Linked DNA regions of Lonchura striata. The protein of the gene in region 1 binds, or shares a complex with, the protein of each later gene. Links are inferred from orthologs where the notes say so. Each region holds a gene or a part of one and is shown in the gene's direction. Other genes may lie near its edges. The genes, in order: ZMYND8 and DBN1.

Region 1 (8,787 bases):
ACTGGAGCCTTCCCTGGCTGAAGTCCACACAATTAATCTTTGATTCACAGTGTCACAGTACAGACAGTTCTGCTCAAAGTGCAGCTAAGTGCTGTGGCTGGAAGGAAGGGTGAGAAGCCAGTAAGTCTGACTGAAAAAGAAAAGAAACTTGTGGTGGAAAAAGAAAGGACTTTTTGCTGGTGAGAGGTAAACCACAAAACTGAGATGAAATAGCAATTGGAATAGCACATAGAGAGGAGAAAGGTGTGAATATGCAGAGCCTTGAAGCTGAAGCCAAACTGTGAATTTAGTGTGTGGAGGAACATGAAGGAGGTTAAAAGTGAAAGTGATGCAGTCTGAATCTGCAGTGGGTTGTGCAGGAAAAGTTAATGTAATTACTTTATCTTTGTAATTCCGTCACTTGACATGTTTGGTATGAGCTTTAGTTTCTGGGACATTATCAGATTTAATTTTAAAACCCCAAAAGAAAACAACAGTAATAACAAACCAAAACATGAAAGAAGTCATGTCATCTGATTCCTGAATGTGAAACAATCAAGAAAGAAATCCTGGTAATAGGATTGGAGTTCAGCATTATGTGGTCCTGAATAATTCCTCCCAAATAGCAGTGACTTCCTTTTGTTTCCTTTAGAAGTGCACTATGCCAGAGTAAGTGATATATACAAGATGTCTCACACTTGGCCATTAGAACCACTTGGTGAAGTACAAACTTCTTTCAAGATTCTGTACTTAGGCCTCATACAGGGTATTTACATTTATTTCCATGGCCACAGAGCAGGGCTGATAAATCCACTTGTTCACCTGCACCGTGGGCGTGCACCATGCCTGCATGTGTCTCACAGCTGCTTTCTGGGCAACTAGAAAAGGATTTGCCTGCATATAAAATATGAAAGCAATTGTATCTGTTAGGCCTTCAGTACAGAACATAAAGTTTAAATACATAATAATGAAAATTCAATTTTATACAGAATATCCAACAGCCCAGCTGTTTAATTGTGGAGAGACTGGTCCAAAGTGGGGGTGAAAGCAATGAAATGGGCTTATGCCTTAAGTACTTATTTTAAAAAGCTACAGCTGTTAAAGGGCTCAAAGATGCTTTTCTTTTTTTTTTTTCTCTCCAGCTATTTTTGGCAGATGATTGAACATGAGTGGAGATTTCCTTTGGAAAGAAATGTACATGAAGCAATTGCACAGCACGCTAAAAATGCCTGTCAAGAGACACTTTGATAATGCACCAGATATTCAGTTGTGTGTTACAAACTGAACCAGGTTTTAACCTGCAGACAATGAGTGACCATTTCAATCCAGAACAAACAGTGTCAATCCAAAGTACTGAAAGCTGCTCTTCAGAAGGACCAATGCATGCAAAGCCTACTAAGCTCATGGGCAAACCAGGGACCTGCTGTGCATAGATACCTTCTCCTGTAGTTTCTAATAATTTATGAAACTACCAACCTTCTTTGACAGGTCACTAATTTTAGAAGTCAGTCTAGTTTTAAAAATTGAGGAACTGTTTTTATAGACATTTATTGCTGGATTCTGTACTGGACAGTGGTCTACTGGTCTTTGAGCAATTACTGATACTTTATCTATATTCATGATAAAGGAGACAAACTTCGAAGAGTTTTTTCCCAAGACAATGAGTGACAGTGTTTTATGTTCTGACTCTAGAAATCAGCATTATCAGCCAAAGACCTGGAAATCCCAGATCAAGCTACAAACCCTTAATGCATTTTCTTTCACTTGTTTTTATCTATTTGTTTATTATACTTGAAAAATATGACATTTCCCCTTTTGTGTATCTGTTAAAATGCTCCATCTTTTGTCCATCACTTAATGTTCCATCTCTGTCAATGATGATGCAGCCACTGTAGGGAGGGGTAAATATCAACCCCTGCTTCTGTCATACAGGCAGGCATTTTTCTTACTGGTATTTGTTTAATTTGGAGGCTCTGGTATATATTAGGTAGTATAGTTCCTTATAACTCTCTGATGCCTGGTGTGTGTGCTTGGTGTGGAGATGGGCACAGTGGGCAGAGTTCTTTGCAAAGACCTGTATAATGGGCTGCACTTTTAACATTACTGTCTTTTAATTTCCTTTTGAGAATTTGCTTTCCATCTTCCCTTTGGTTTCTCTGTTTAGCCTTTTTTTCCCCTCCCTGCCTCACAGCCCTGTTTTCCCTTAATATCTCTGAAGAATTGAAAAGGATAAATACAAGCTAATCTGCTCTCTGCCCTCTTTTCTGCTTTAACAAAGCTTTTAGCTTCCCCTTGCATGCTCTTCTTTTATTTGTTTTGTTTTCTTTACCATTTCTTCCCTCCCACCAAGAAAAAAAAATCACTACTCCAATGTAAAATAAATGCTCAAGCTGTAGCAGGACGCACAATCATGGTGACTTAAGACAAAAATCTGTATTTTCCAGATGTACCCGTGCATTATACCAGGCTTGTACCTCCTGCTGCAAAATAAGCATGTGGACAAGAGAATAAAGAGAAATATATTTCAAGCTTCCCCTTTGATTCCTGACAGAATTCTTTTGTCTTTTTGAGCAGAGTAGCTGAGTGGCTGAATATACATACTATATCTGTCTGATGTGCTTTCTATGGTTTTGTTCCTGCTAATAACTGCAGGTTTATAAATTTTTCTTTTGCATTTTTGCTTCCTTGAATCAAGAGGAGAGGGGCCTTAGGCCTTTCCTAAGGCTGCTGTTGCCTCTCTCTCCACTGTGTGCTCATTCTGTCTGATAGGCCCAAGTGTGTCAGCTTGGCAGCGTTCCCAGGCACCATCAGCATTACAACATTCCCCGAGTCGGGTCTGGGTTAGCACAAAGCATTGACAAATTCTGTGTATTTACTTTTGTTCCCATGCTGTTCTTCATAGGGATTAGGATTTTTTTTTTTTTAAGAGAATAATATTAGAGTAGAACAGTCACACAATGAGCATAAATGTTAACGGCTGACAATCCTCACATTTACTGCTTAGAGGAATCAAAATTTGGATGTTTGTGTGCCAGGGGTGATATCTCTGAGCAACACAGGTCTTTAGGTGTTCAATTAAAAAGAAATCTATCTTGAATGATTTTCACTATTGAAACTGATGCAAGTATTCACTGAATGTCATGAATTTCCAGTGTGTTTCTGCTGCTGTAGTGGGCTGTGATTCGCTTTATAGCAGCACTCTCCCCAGCTTCTGCTTCATTCCTAAAACAGAACAAACGGTCAGTGTATCCGTGAGCCTTCCTGCTCCCTGCCCTGAAAAACATTGCAACATCTAAAAAGAGAAAATGCTTCCAGCAGGGACTCCAGCATTCCTTCTGATTTGATAATTTATACTCTGGGCTGTTAATCTGCTGTTGCAGGGTGAAATGCAGAGACAGAAGTGTAAGCACAGGATGGGCTGCTGTGGCAGTTCCCTGTGACAAGGCTACCTCAAGGAATAATCTGAATGCAGAATGGGACAATGCAGAGCAGGATGACTAATTTTACTGAGTGGCACAGTTATGAGTCACGTCAGCTCTCAGGCAGTGAGGTTTGTGTGGTAAAGTAGTTATATCGTGAGAGGTGCTGTATGGAGGTAAGGGAGGGCACTAGGTTTTGTTGTGGTGATTGTTTCTGGGATTATTAGCACTCGACTAAACGTGACATGCATATTCTGTTTGCAACTCTTGTAGGTTTATGGAAGAGGGCTTTTTATAGATGGTTTTGCACAGTCTGAGATCCTGCATGTTGTACTGGAAGAACGTTTATTTTTCTTTGATTGTTCTATCTCATTATATAATAATTATTGTTTCAATGTTAAGCGTCTCCCTCTACACCGTCCCTTGTTTTTTTTTTCTTGCTTTTGTTTAATAAATAATTATTTTATATTCAATGTGCTTCAGATTCACCCTTTCATCTGCAATTTCCATTGCAATCTTCATGGCTACAGAATGATAATATAACACAGATACAAAATTTTGAACAATAATGCAAAGGCATGGTGGAGGCTTTCTAAAAATTTAACCTTTAAGATCTTCATCTGGAGTTAAGACTTCCTTCTTGGCAAAACGATAATTTCTCCCACTTTCACTGCATTAGGGAAAAGAATGGAATCACATTTTTTAATCAAAAGCTTGGGAATTGGCCCAAGATCAAACCGGTTGCTTACACGCCGCTTTCTCATTTTGTTTCATTTGCAGCATTTTCGCAGGAGATAAAAAGGTAAAGCAAAAATATCTGAAAAATGATGTGGATGTTTTCGTGGGGGCAGACTGATAACTTGCCTCGTAGAGAAATCTGTGTTTTCAGGGCCTGTGTTGCATCTCAAAAAGCACCAAGTCCTAGAGGGTTAACGGACAGGAAGCTGCAGTTACAGCCGCTCCTAAGGAAGTCAGTTTTTGTCTAACAGCCCAGGCAGGCCGAAAGGTAGGGGCTGGGGGGGATTCCAGATCTCAGGGTCTAGGATGACATGGATATTTTTAGTTTTGCCCTGCAGCATTTTAAACACGGGGAGGGCCTGCACCAAGTGGTAGCAAGGCTCCGTGATAAAGCAATTTCAATTCTGGAGTGCTTTTTGGGAAAAGGAGACATGAGTGTTCCTGCTTAAGGCTCCTTTTTCCCTCTTAAGACTCAGCATACCACGAAATCACACTGTAGGTACATGGTTGCTGTGCTGCATGTTCATGTATTTAAATTCTGGAGCAGGAGAACCCTTCTCGGAGTCCTGAGTTGTTCATTTCAGTCCCTTCTGTGCACGTGCACTTTCAGTAAGTTCTGCTCTCCGCCTGTGGCCTCGCTTGCTCGGCCAGCGCAGCCCCAGCAACGCCAATTGCGCTTTCCGTGCGAACAAAAGAACAGCTCTGGCGACCTGGGCGAACTCTGCGTCCTTCGGGTTCAGAACAGCCAGCTGCCTTCATGAGGCGGCAGGCTGGGGCACACGGGCCGGGCAGGCGGTGCGCGGGGAGCCGCGGGCGGGCCCGGGCCGGGCCGGGCGGGCGGCGGCAGCCGGGCCTAGCGCGCCGGCCTGCTCCGAGCCCGGGATGGCTCCTGCTCCCGGAGCCGCACAAAGATAATCGCTCAGGAAGTGTCTCAGCCAATCCCCTGGCGCTTTACATGCGGATTTGCCGGGGCAGCCAATCCGGGGGCGGCTTTCATGGGGAAGACAGATCATCAAGCCCAAGTGCCAAGCCCTCCCTGCCCGAGTACTGAGAGCCTGTCCTCCATGTTTTATAAGTATTGACATAACACTGTGTTAACAATGCATCCACAGAGGTAAGCCTTGCTTTTTACATTGCTTTTTCTCTAAGACCTATGAGTTGTGGGTTGAGAGTGTGATTCTCTGTGATTTCTCGTGCAAAACTCACACCACAGCACTTATATTAAGTTGGAACTGTTTAAATTTGCTTTCTTGGGTCACATGGTTAGTAGCCATTAGCCACAGCTTTATTTTACAGTCTGGCAAAGCCTTGGCATGCCTACTTCTTCACAGGAGGATGGTGTTTTTAGAGTTTATCAAGATCCTGGTATTCCAAAGGAGGTTTCTGTCTCTGAGCAGTTTGCCAGCACTATTGTCTGTTGTGTCACATGCCTGCTGGAGAGAAAATGGAAGCTAGGGAGCAGATGCATTTAACTGCCCTACAGGGAGTCAAGCAGGGATAATGGCAGACAGAGGAACAGGCAAGTTTACCTTTCTAAACAGTGAATGGAACAGCTAAGATAAGTTATCTCTGAGAAAATATGGGATTTTTAAAAACCTAGGCATCAGCAAAAAGTGCTAATGGCAGATTGTAGATATTGGGCCTAGGTGGTGGTGTGCTGTTGCATCATGTTTTTTATGCAGCTTATCTTAACTTAAAATGATTATTGAACCTTTTTTCTTGCAGGAGTAATTAATACAATGCTTTTCTCTTTCTGAGGGACAATGTATGGTTAATATTTTGTTCCTTTAAAAGGGAGTTTTTATGCTGCAGATTTTGGAAATGGAGTGCTGCTCAGTAAAACGCAGCAGTGCATCTGTTTACAAATCTGATGCTTTATGGAAAATGTTTTTGAACTGTTAGCTTCCTTGCTTTGCATAGTTCAAATAAACTAATGCAACTTTTATCTGTGCCTTTTTGTTTTACATTGTACCAGCCACAGTTCTGTGTTGTGGAGTCCAGAAGATATAAAATCATGTGTGGTTCATGACAGTAGTACATGTTGTTCGTTCTTGGGTTTTTTTTTCCCTTTTAATTTTTTTTACTTTTGGTTAATTGCTACGTAATTATTTCAAGAAATTCCTTTTTGATCAATTCCAAAATCTGCCAGCCTGTTGTATCTCCTTAACTGGAAAAATGAGATGGGTGCTTGAACAGTTGGTAAGTAAGCAGCATGCTACTCTCTGAACATTTTTAATAGTTTTCCAAACATTTTGTTTTTACTGGGTCAGTCAGTGAAGTAGATGAAGTGATGTTGGTGGTTAGTCATATAAAAGATCAGATTTGTTTAGCGTCCATTTTAAGGGACTTGTACATGTAAACTGCTGTATTTGAATGCACTGTTTTTCTGATAATTTGTCTCTAAATTTTGAAGCTTTTACTTCCTGTTTACCTTAGGCCAGTGAAAAATATTCTACTTGCTGTTCGTTCCTAGATCATTAATTGCCATGTTTGCAGGGCAAAGCGCGTTTTCACCGTTCCTTGGGCTTTTCGGGTGTGATGAAAGTGCTGGTGCTCAGCAATGAAGTGACCTTAGGAAGTAAAGTAAATAACACTTAATGAGCATATGTTTCTGATACTATACAAAGTATAACCTCAGACAAGCTTGCTTGGTTTATAACTAATTTAGAAACATTTTGTGCTCTTTATAAAGATTTTAATTGTAGCGCCTGCATGCTTGTTTGAACAAGCTGTTTTTCAGTGATCACTAGGGCTGTTACAAAAGCAGAGAAGGGATGCTCTTTTGTGTTTTTAATGTAATTTTTGCACTTGTTTTAACAGTCCATACACATTTATTATTTTCGGAAAGAACTGAAAGCTAGGCTGGCTTTGCAAATAAATAACTGTGCTGAGGCACAGGGCATGCAAACTTTTCTAGCCCCTTGCCATGTATTTGGTAACGTTCTTTAACAGCAATTTACCTCTGTTTGCTTGTTTACCAGTGTGAGTATCTTACTTTGAATATCTCACTTTGGCTAAAAGCTTTCCTATCCTATCCCCCTCTCCATGTTTCCCCCTCCTCCCTTCCCCCCCCCTGCCCCCCCCAGTCCCCTAGGATTAGATTATAAGAATGTCTAGTTCAATTTAAAACCTGAAATACTGCTGGGGTACCACTGAATTTCATGTGATAGTATTTCTGTATGCAATTTTAATGCATCTTTCAGTATACGTGAAAGTGCTGACACAGCTAAGAAGTTATTCTGGTTTTTGCTCTTCAGTTGCTAAAAAACAGAAATTACATTTGGACACAATTTTCCTAGTAGTAGTTTATACATGCTAGCTGTTTACTTTCAGCCTTTAAGAATGGGCAACATAATATTTGTTTAATGTGAGGAAGCAGGGGTAAGTGATCTGCAATCAGAAAGCTTGTATTAAAATGGCTCCCACAGGTTTTGTTAAACCAGGATCTGTTTCAAATCTGCACCTCCAGACACGCTGCTGACAGTGAAGCGCATTTGTGTGAGCTGCCCTCGTGCATGTAATGAAACGGAGCATCGTGAGTCTGTTAAAGTTCACTATTTTCAATCACTCGGGTGTAATTCTTTTATAGTTCACAAAAAACAAATGTCTGCATTGCAGCAAGATGTCTGAGGCAAGGTAGAGACAGCAGCGCTGTGCCTCGGCTCAGCCCAATGGCACTGCTCCGCCAGCGCCGGAGCCAATTGCTGCAGCAGGCAGGTTAAAGATTGACAATTGCAGTGGCAAGGCTGAGAAAGGCCTTCTGGAAATTTCTGCCATCTTTGTTCCATCTAAGCAAAGCAAATTCAGACAAGCTGAAGGATTTCAGATGTGTATATTTTTTGGTGCTTTGTCAAGGTACAGTGTTATCACTCACTTCCCTAGGTTGTGTAATAAGCTGTTTTTTCTATTCAGGACAGATGGAATGTGGGTTTTTGTTTTAAGTGACAGATGCAGGGAAAAAGCACGTATTGCTTTCTCCCCAAGATTTTACTGGCCTGGATCTTGTTACAATCACAATTAGACAGGACATGTATGAAGCAATGCAGCTGAGGTTTATTCAGCTTGGAGCAAATGGCCATTATTCTGATTATAACTAGCAGTTAATCGTATAATTACACTGTAAGTTTTCTGGCTACTAGAGAGCAGTTTGAATTGCCCAGGATGAATATGATTAGGCATTATTATTTAGTGCCAACATCCAGTTACTTTTGTAATTAACTGGACAAAGAATGGAGTGGGGGGAAAACAAAGGAGTGATCTGGATTATAAATCATGGTGAAAACAGTAGCCTTTTAAAAGCTACATGCCTTTTTCATTCTTTGCAGGCAAACTGTTTTACTTGGAAGCTAAATAGTGCTAGGGAAAAGCTGAGCAATTTCTTTAAACAAATGACACTACTTAACATATTGGAAATGAAAAAAATGCAGAGTATAAACCACTCCAAATGTAACAGTCACCCCCCCTCACAGTAGGTAGGAGTATGAAATGTAGCAGAAAACCTACGTTGCTACTAAGAGAGCATGTAATGAAAGGAACATCATGCTCAAAAAGCAGAAATAGATAGATTACATCACAAATTTAGCCCTTCATATCATGTCCACAAACTTCAACTGGCTCGTCTTCCTCAGCTGTCTTCCATTTTGTGATACCA
Region 2 (8,323 bases), on another chromosome or scaffold:
CTTGTCCTCTGCTGTGAGTGCCTGGCTCTGTCCCTTCCCGCCTTGGTCCATCTCAGGGGATTCCTTGACCCTTCCTGCCCTTGGTGCTCCTGCCCCTGGCTGACAGTGGCTCCCCTCCAGGAGGTGATGCACGCACTGAAGATGACCTGGCACGTGCAGTGCTTCACCTGCAACGCCTGCAAAACTCCCATCCGCAACCGAGCCTTCTACATGGAGGAGGGACAGCCCTACTGCGAGAGAGGTAGGACCCAGGGGCCCCATGTGTCACCTCATGTGGCCCTGGGGCGCATTGGGACTCAGCAGCTGCACACAGGGCTGGGGGTATGAGCTGCCCTGCTCTGCAGGGCTCCCCCTGGGCTGCGGGGAGCACAGAGACCCCAATCCCACAGCCCTGAGCCCTCCACCTGGTTCTCCCTAGCTGCAGGGTAGTGCCATAGCTCCTATGTTGCCATGGCGATGAGGGAGGATGTACATCAAAGCGAGTGCTGCATCCTGGGAGATGAGGTTCTCCTCCTCCCCCTGGAGCTCTGTGTTGGCTATGCCACCCTACACCTTTCCCGGGTGTCCCAGGCTTTTTCTCACCTGAATGGGGGCTGGCAGAGTTGTCCCCAGGCTGTGCCTGTGGGATCCTGGCTGAGCTGCAGCCCTGCTCCCCTGGCATGAGCGGCTGTAGTGCATGGAAATGCTGACCTGGCTCTGCCTTTCCTCACAGACTATGAGAAGATGTTTGGCACCAAGTGCCGCGGCTGTGACTTCAAGATCGATGCTGGGGACCGGTTCCTGGAGGCGCTGGGGTTCAGCTGGCATGACACTTGCTTTGTCTGTGCGGTGAGCAGTGTGCCTCCCTCCCCGACTGTTGCAGGGCCTGTGCCTCTCCCCGACAGTCCTGCTCTGGGTGGGGTACACCAGCAGCACAGGGAACCTGCTGCCACAAGATTTGTCCCACTTGCCTCCGTTCCGGACGCCTGGGGCTCTGCTCTGAGCCTTCTGTTCCCTCGCAGTGCCCCAGGGCCATGTGGAGGTCCCTGTGTAACACCAGTGCTGGGCTGTGGGGGACCAGAGGCTGACTCAGCCCCCCGACCTGACCACCTGTACTTTCCTCCCCAGATCTGCCAGACCAACCTGGAAGGGAAGACGTTCTACTCCAAGAAGGACAAGCCTCTGTGCAAGAGCCATGCTTTCTCCCATGTGTGAGGGGTGGGAATTCAGCTGTGCCTACACATGCCCCTGGCCCTGCATGCTCCTCTTCCCCTGCCCTGCTGGCCCCAGGGAGCCAGACTGGGCCCTTGGCCCTTTCCCTTGCTTCTGCCTCTTTCCTGGCAGCTCCTGGCTCGACTTCAGCCAGATACAGTGCTGGGTCCAGAGCCTTTTATAGCTGGGTGGCTTCTTACATGCTTCTCAACTGGCCCTAGGAGCCCTGGAAAGGGGATGCTGCATGGATCTCCTGCCCCTGAGCCACGCAGCATGGTGGGTACAACCATGCTGAGGCTGGAATTGGAGGGGGTCTGCCACGGCTGGCCTGCTCCCTTGCTGCCTGGCAGCTCAGTGCTGGGGCAGGGATACTCCTTACACATCCCTGAGTGGGTGAGGACCAGCTCTTGTCTCACTCTCCCCAACCTTCCCTGCTGTGTGCTTGGGGCTGGAGACCCGGCCCTGCTCCCCTGCTGGGGCCCTGCCCATGACAACCCACCAGCCACCCTCAAACTGCAGTGGCTTCCTGCCCCAGTTGCATTCCAGGGGTGTCTGTGCCTCATGCCTCCCACCCTGCTGCCCCCCTGCTCCCCTGGGGCTGGCAACACCCCCAGCCTGGCATGGCCCAGCCGTGGGCTGGCAGCGTGTAATGATGGCCAGCCCAGTCAGGCTGCTGCTCCCGCAAGGCTTGGGCACAGCTTCCTACCAAAGAGATCTCTGCCACTGCCATCCTGGGGCCACCGATGCCTCCCCCCAAACCACACCCTCTGGTCGGGCTGCGCTGATGTAGCCACGGTGCTTTTAGTGCCTTTAATAAACACATCTCTGCAAGTGCCGGCTGTCTCCAGGCCAGTGGTTTTGCCGAGTGAGGTGTGGCCGGCTGGGAAGGTCATGCTCTGCCCTCATCCCGCTCCCTCTGGGGCCTGACTCAGCTCCTTCCAGCTTTCCAGGGAAACTCTTCGCCTCAGATTTCTCCACCTCTGCCCAGGCTTGACCTTTTGTGTCGGCTGGGTCGTCCCTCTTGTAGCAGGCAGGACCGCTAATGGGGGCAGTAATTAATCTGGGGGGCAAAATGCAGCAAGGAGAGATGGGGAAGGGGTGAGACCTTAGTGGAGGTCCTTGTATACCTGGCAGCGTCCTGAGTACTGTAGAGGGGTTGAGGAGTCGTGGGGCACGCGTGGGCCACGTGCACCAGCTCTGGGCGTTCTCCAGCGTGGAGCGGCCAAGCGTTCGCTCACACGCTGCAGCTGCCGTCCCGAAGGACGGCTGAGGCCACACCAGCACCTCCGGCTGGAACGGGCTCGAGGGCAGCGCGTGTGGGTGTTCTCCTCCCTCTCCACTCTGACAGCTGGAACGGTCATTAATAATTGCAGCTCTTGCCATGATGAGCAATTGTAAGGAAAATCGTCTTGCTCATCTACTGGAAGGTTCTGCCTGGGGCAGGAGCTGGCTGTGGGAAGCCAAATACCTCCTGGCATCACCCAGATCTGGGCTGCGGTGCCACATCTTCTCACTGCCAGTTCCAGGAGTGCAAAAGCACATCAAAGATGGGGCAAGGAAAGGTGAGGGATGAAGTCAAGCTGGGGCTGGGCCAGGCAGTCGGGCTGGGGCACGTGAGAGCAGTGGGATGGTCACACTGAGAAGCAGCAGGACATGGCACAGAAGCAGCTGGTGCCTGCCTGGCAGGGCTGGCAGGAGCAGGGCTGAGTGCCCACGTGTGAGTCCCAGCTGTGCAGCCAAGGTCAGAGGAAGCACAGGGGAAGGTGAGGTGGCTGTGGCCCCACATGGGCAGGCCCTGAACCAACCCTGGGTTGGCTGGACAGCAACCCGTGAGTGGAGGGTAGGAAAGGGGCAGGGGCAGGCAGTGGTGCGGGACGGAGCCTGCTGGGCTAGCACAGGCTGGGAACAGGTTCTGCCAGATCAGCCCCGGGGTGCCCAGCTGTGCAGCAGGGCCAGGGTGCTACAGTCAACCTGCCTCTTCCCTGGGGAGAGCCAAGCATCCCCTGGTGCCACTGCAAGGTCTGTGCTCGCGGGGGGCTTAGCTCTGCTTGGTTCCCTGTTGCCTCTGGGCCCTCCTGATGACTCCTCTACCACCCAAGGTGCCTCTGCGCTTTGCCAAGGGCATCTCTTGCCCACCAGCTCTGCGCACCATGTGAGGACCTTGTGCACAGGCAGCGGAAGGAGGGTCTCGGGTGGGCTGCGGAGGTGGAGCCTGGGGAGGGGCTGCAGCCTCGCTGCTCGGAGAACAAAGCCTGGCGGCGGTAGGCTCGGAGCTCCCACCACATCCCTGAGCGGGGTCTCACCACATCCACCCCCAAAGCCATCTGAGCCGCTTGTGGGGCGCCTGCCCCGGCCCCAGCCCCCGCGCTGGCCCCGGCAGCTGCTCCACAGCTGCTCCCAAACTCTCACAGCCTCTTAGGGCGGCTCCGGCTCTGGCCTCGCTCGGAAATGCTGGTGTGAGGAGGGCGTGGGGGGAGCGGGCGGCAGCGCCAGGACCCTCGGCACCCTGTCCCATGTCCCTCATCTCCCATGTCCCCGTGTCCCACGGGCTGCCTGAAGGGATTCTTTTGTGACGGGCCACTCCACCAACATCCCCATCCCGCAGGAATCGGGCCCTGCGTGCTCTCCATTGCTGCTCTGGCACAGAGACCCCTCCAGCGCGGTGCTGGTCCAGGCTGGGGGCAGCGCCGGGGACAGGGAATCGCTGGCAGGAGCATTAGGACCTGGCTGAGAGCCCCTTCAGAGCCCTTCGAGGGTCAGTGCAAAACCAGCTGTGGGGTCGCACAGAGGCAAAACCTCCTGAAAAAGGTGATTGAAGGGTTCTGAAAGGACCGGTGGCTTGGCAGTGGTGGGGGTAGAGGAGCAGATGGGCAGCAAAGACGCCCCCAGAAAGGCTGTGTCCAGTGACCCCTTGTGCGAGCAGTGAGGGCATGGCTGGGTGTTTAGGGCAAAGCCGACGGTGCCGTGTCCTTGGAGAGGAAACCTTGGACACGGGGGCTCGGCGTGGGGCAGCGGAGGGCACGGGAAGCCATGTGTGCCACATCCCTGGGTGTAGAGGATGTGGGGCAGGGGAGAATATGGGAATGGAGAGGACCACCCAGCACGAGAGGTCTCCAGAGTGCAAGTTCCCAGGAGGGGCAGCGCAGGATGCGTCCCCAGGGCGGAGGAGAGCCCGGAATGCGAAATCACCCGGCGTGCAGGTTCCCAGGAGGAGCTGAGCCGGGGTTCAGTGTCCCTGGGGCTGGGGACGGCCCGGAGCGCGGTGTTGCGGGGGCAGAGCAGAGCCCAGGCTGCGGGATCCCGGGGGCGAGCTGCGTGCGGGGGCGGCCCGCGGCGGGGGTGATGCTGCCCGCACCCCCGGGGTCCCGGCTCGGGGCCGGGCGGCGCGGCCGGCGGGCTGCCCCGGGGGCGCCCCGGGGGCGCGGCGGGGGCGGGGGCCGGGCGGGGGGGCGGAGGGGAGGGGAGGGGGGCCGCCGTTCGCGGCGCTAGGACCGGGCGCGGCGGCGGGCGGAGCCTCCCCGCCGCTCGCCCCTCCGCCCGGCCGCTGCGGCAGTGTCTCGGAGGCGGGCAGGCGGCCGGTCCCTCCGGTCCCCCGGCAGCATCCCGGCCCCGCCATGGCTGGCGTCGGCTTCGCGGCGCACCGCCTGGAGCTGCTCGCCTCCTACCAGGACGTGATCGGCGAGGACAGCCCCACCGACTGGTGAGCGCGCCCGCCGCCGCCGCCGCCCCTTTGTCCCCGCCGCCGCCGCCGCCCTTTGTGCACGGAGCCGCCCGGTAACACCGGCCGCGCCCCGAGCTGCGCCCCCCGCCGTCCCCGCGAGCCCCGGCACACAAAGGCGGGCGGGGCGGCGGGGGGTGTGCCCGGCTCGCCGCCCCCGGTGCCCGCACCTGCCCGCCGCACCGGGCCGGGGCGCGGTCCCCGCTTTGTCTGCGCCGGGCCGGCACGTGCGGGCGCCGGGACCCGTCGGCCCCGGGAGTCCCGGCACGGCCCGGTCCGACCCCCAGCCGGGCAGCGAGAGCGGGGAGCGGGGGAATTCGCGCACGACGGGGAGGGCCCCGTGGGGCTCCCCGGTGCTGGGCCCGGCACCGGTTCCTCGCCATTGTCTGGAGCTGGAGCCGCGGGCAGGGGCGCCGGGGCAACGGGGGATGGGGAGGGGATCGGGGCGCCCGCAGCCCGGCCCCGCTCCCGACCGGTCCTGCTCCCGACCGGCTTCACCGGTATCCCGGCAGCGGGCGGCCCCGCTGCCCGGCGGAGAGAGGCCTGAAGCCGCGGGGACACCGAGCATCTCCCGCCGCTCCCGCTACCCTGAGATTCCCCCAAGCTCCGGGGCTGCCGCATCCCTGGGGGGTCGCGGTGTGTCGGCCCGGGGTTGCCCCGCCGGGCTGGGGTTGCTGTTGAGTCGGGGAGGGGAGTGGTTCTCTCCGCTGGGACCCCCGGCTTGTCGCGCTGCCCGCGCCCCGGTGCGGGGCACCGGTTGTCGAGGTCGGCTGGATCCGGGCCCGCTGCAGGGAGCATCACCCACTGCCAGCCCACCCGCATCTCCCAGCCCAGCCGGGTGCCGGGAGGCTGGCTGGGGCCATCTGCCCCGCCATCCCCTCCCTGCCCTCCAGGGTGCCTCTGGCAGGCTGGGTGGGAGCGCTGCCGGCGCGCTGGGGCGCATCTCGCTGGGCAGTGTGGAGTGCTGGGTGCATGCTGTGCATGATGCTTTTGGTGGGGGGCGGACGGAGGAGAGCTACTGTGCACCCACCATCCAGCCAGGGGCATCCACCACCCCTCCGGGATATACCCACCGCCCATCCGGGGACTCCCACCTCCCAGCTGGGCTGCACCCACAACCCAGCCGGTCAGACGTCTGTCTCTAAGCAGGTCCTTGCTCTCAGGACAGGGCTGGGTGGGCCTGGGCAGGTCCAGGTGCCCCCAGTCCCCGGGGGTCTCCGGAGGGCCCCACAGTCCCGCTGTCAGCCCAGGGGCGCTGCGGGCAAGCGCCGTGTGTGTCGCCGGCCAGGCGGCAGCTGTCAGCCCTGGGTACATCTCGCTTCCCGGCATCCGCTGCAAAGGAGCCGTCCCTGCCAAAGCTGCTGAGAGAAGCAGAATCGGTTCCCGGGAAGGCGAGGGGGCCGGTGGCGGCTCCCCCACAAACACCTCCAACGCTGATCCCGGCCAGGCAGTGATCCCCTGGCATCCCCATCCGTGGGGCTGACTTTGGTCCATCGTCCCCAGCTGCTCCAATGTCCCCAGCCACCCCATGCCATTGTCACCGGAGCTCCTGGCACTCAGTGCCTGTGGGAACATCATCCCCTCTGCAGGGCCCGCTGCGGGGGTGCTGGATGAGGGGCGATGCTGGTGGGGCTCCATCGGGCAAGGTGATGGGGACAGTCCACGGGGAGGAGGGCCCAGACTGGCTGAGCCAGGGAGCTGCCTGGGGGGACACTGTGCCAGAGCCTGGCCCTGGGCCGCCACCGCGGAATGCCACGCTCATGCCCGCCCGGGATCCCTCGGTTTAGTCTGGGATTTCCCCTGCTCCAGCCCGGTCCTGAAGGGTCCGAGCATCCCCTCCCCCTGCCCGGCCCCGCGAAGGCTGCTGGGGCCCATTACTCGATCGGAAAGGAATTTGGTGCTGCTTTCTGAGCACGCCGACTCCCTGGAGCTCCCAGCCACATTGGAAACACATGTGCCGGGGCTGGGGCGGGAGGCTGGGGCGATGTGACCCCTCCCTGGCCGTGGCATGGGGGGTGGGCTGCCGCGGGAGCCCCGTTCCGGCGCCCGGGGATGCTGCTCTGCCTGCTCCGGTGAGCAGCGGGGCCATGCGAGGGCAGCGGGGCTGCGGTGCCTTTGCCTGGGGTGATGAGGGATCCTCAGTGGAGGCCCCCGGCTGCGGGGAGCCCCCGCTCCGGGCTGCACAGGGCATCTCCACCCACGGGTGACCCACATACCTGGAGCCCGGGGGTGGGAAAGGGCTGTATGGGTTGGGTGGAGGGATTAAAGCCATGGAAGTGGGGTAAGTGATGCATGATGCTGACAGCACCCGCTGTGACACAGCTGGTCCCCACTGCCAGGGGTTGTGGTGGTGCTGTTGGGCTGTGGGGCCCTGGGGGCACCCCTGGGGATGCTACTGGCCCCAGCACGGCTTCTCTGTCTCCTGGAATGGAAACCTCCATCCTGGCATGGAGTCAGGCTGTGCTGCTGAGCTGTGTCCACAGCAAGCCCCATCTGCCCTGGGAGCACCCCCGGGTGCAGGCAGCAGCTTTGTGTCCAGAAACCACCCAGCATGGCAGGGTTCTGGGGAAGAAAAGCAGGCAGTGGGTGCCCCCAGCACCCACAGGGCTCCCCAGGCAGTGATGCTGTAGCTCTGCCCTACTTCTTTTCTCCTGTCTGCTGCCAGCTGCATCCCACCCTGCCAGCTTCCAGCTCGCCGCCCTGGGCTCCCCCAAACTGCTGCCATTCCTCCCCCATTCCTGGGGGGACCAGGGGCTGCATTTGCCACCCTTCCCTGTCACAGACGGCACTTTGCAGCTGTTCCAGGCCTGGAAGCTGGCGCCGGCTGGGGCGGCCGATTAGCGGGATCGGGATGTGCGGATTAAAGTCAATCTTGTTGGTGCAATTATCTGCGGCTCCCTGCCAGGGGCTCGGGGGGCGGCGGGTGCTGGAGGCAGAGGGAGGCCCTCTCCCTCTTAGGCACCTGCCTGCCTTCCCCTTGCTTTTTAGCTCCAGGCTCTGTTTTGGGGGTGGCTCTGCCCGTAGGGACCCTCGATTCCTGTTCCCCAGGCTGTGGATTGAAGCTGCAGGCTCGAGCCAGGACGGCTTTGCTGGGCACAGCGGGGATTTCGGGGCTCTGAGGAGCGCCGTGCGGGCACCACCAGCCGAATGCTGATCGGCAGAGCCGCCCACCCGCGGCGGAGCAGGGATGTGGGGGATCCAGCACGGGCGGCCCTGGCTTTCCGGGTGCAGCGCGTGACGGTGGCGGGCAGGTTTGGGTGCCTGCCAGGCCCCGCAGGTCCCCACTGCCTGCCTGCCTCCCCCGCTCCCCTCCACTAATCACCTCGTCATCGGGGCGAGCTGCATCCCAGCTGGGATGGGGGGGGTTGCCATGGTGATGGAGGATGCTGGTTGCCTAGCGACATCCATCCCCTC

Evidence for each region.
Region 2: the proteins of ZMYND8 (region 1) and DBN1 are in contact, whole or in part, in a crystal structure (PDB 5Y1Z), measured with the Homo sapiens proteins. The link is inferred for Lonchura striata from reciprocal best matches to the Homo sapiens genes ZMYND8 and DBN1. Residues at the interface, in NP_001350670.1 of Homo sapiens: Gln167, Pro168, Gly169, Thr170, Gln236, Ile237, Val240, Lys243, Ile244, His247, Trp269, Leu285, Gly287, Phe288, Phe307, Gly309, Gln310, His311, Asp312, Ala314, Thr335, Lys336, Ser337, Ile338; in NP_004386.3 of Homo sapiens: Met1, Ala2, Phe6, Ser7, Arg10, Leu11, Leu14, Tyr17, Glu18, Asp92, Ala93, Cys96, Ala97, Ala99, Ser100, Lys104, Glu107, Phe108, Gln110.

Annotation. Positions count from the first base shown.
Region 1 is NC_134619.1:8,584,218-8,593,004, forward strand, and holds the start of ZMYND8 (MYND-type zinc finger-containing chromatin reader ZMYND8), read left to right. Parts: upstream 1-5,119; 5' UTR 5,120-5,236; coding exon 5,237-5,250; intron 5,251-5,384; exon of another isoform or gene 5,385-5,655; intron 5,656-5,809; exon of another isoform or gene 5,810-6,335; intron 6,336-8,787. UniProt on the Homo sapiens protein: Chromatin reader that recognizes dual histone modifications such as histone H3.1 dimethylated at 'Lys-36' and histone H4 acetylated at 'Lys-16' (H3.1K36me2-H4K16ac) and histone H3 methylated at 'Lys-4' and histone H4 acetylated at 'Lys-14' (H3K4me1-H3K14ac).
Region 2 is NC_134617.1:3,197,948-3,206,270, reverse strand, and holds the start of DBN1 (drebrin), read left to right. Parts: upstream 1-4,705; 5' UTR 4,706-4,805; coding exon 4,806-4,891; intron 4,892-8,323. Other genes in the region: PDLIM7 (PDZ and LIM domain protein 7), read left to right, coding at 121-241, 713-828, 1,108-1,194. UniProt on the Homo sapiens protein: Actin cytoskeleton-organizing protein that plays a role in the formation of cell projections. Required for actin polymerization at immunological synapses (IS) and for the recruitment of the chemokine receptor CXCR4 to IS.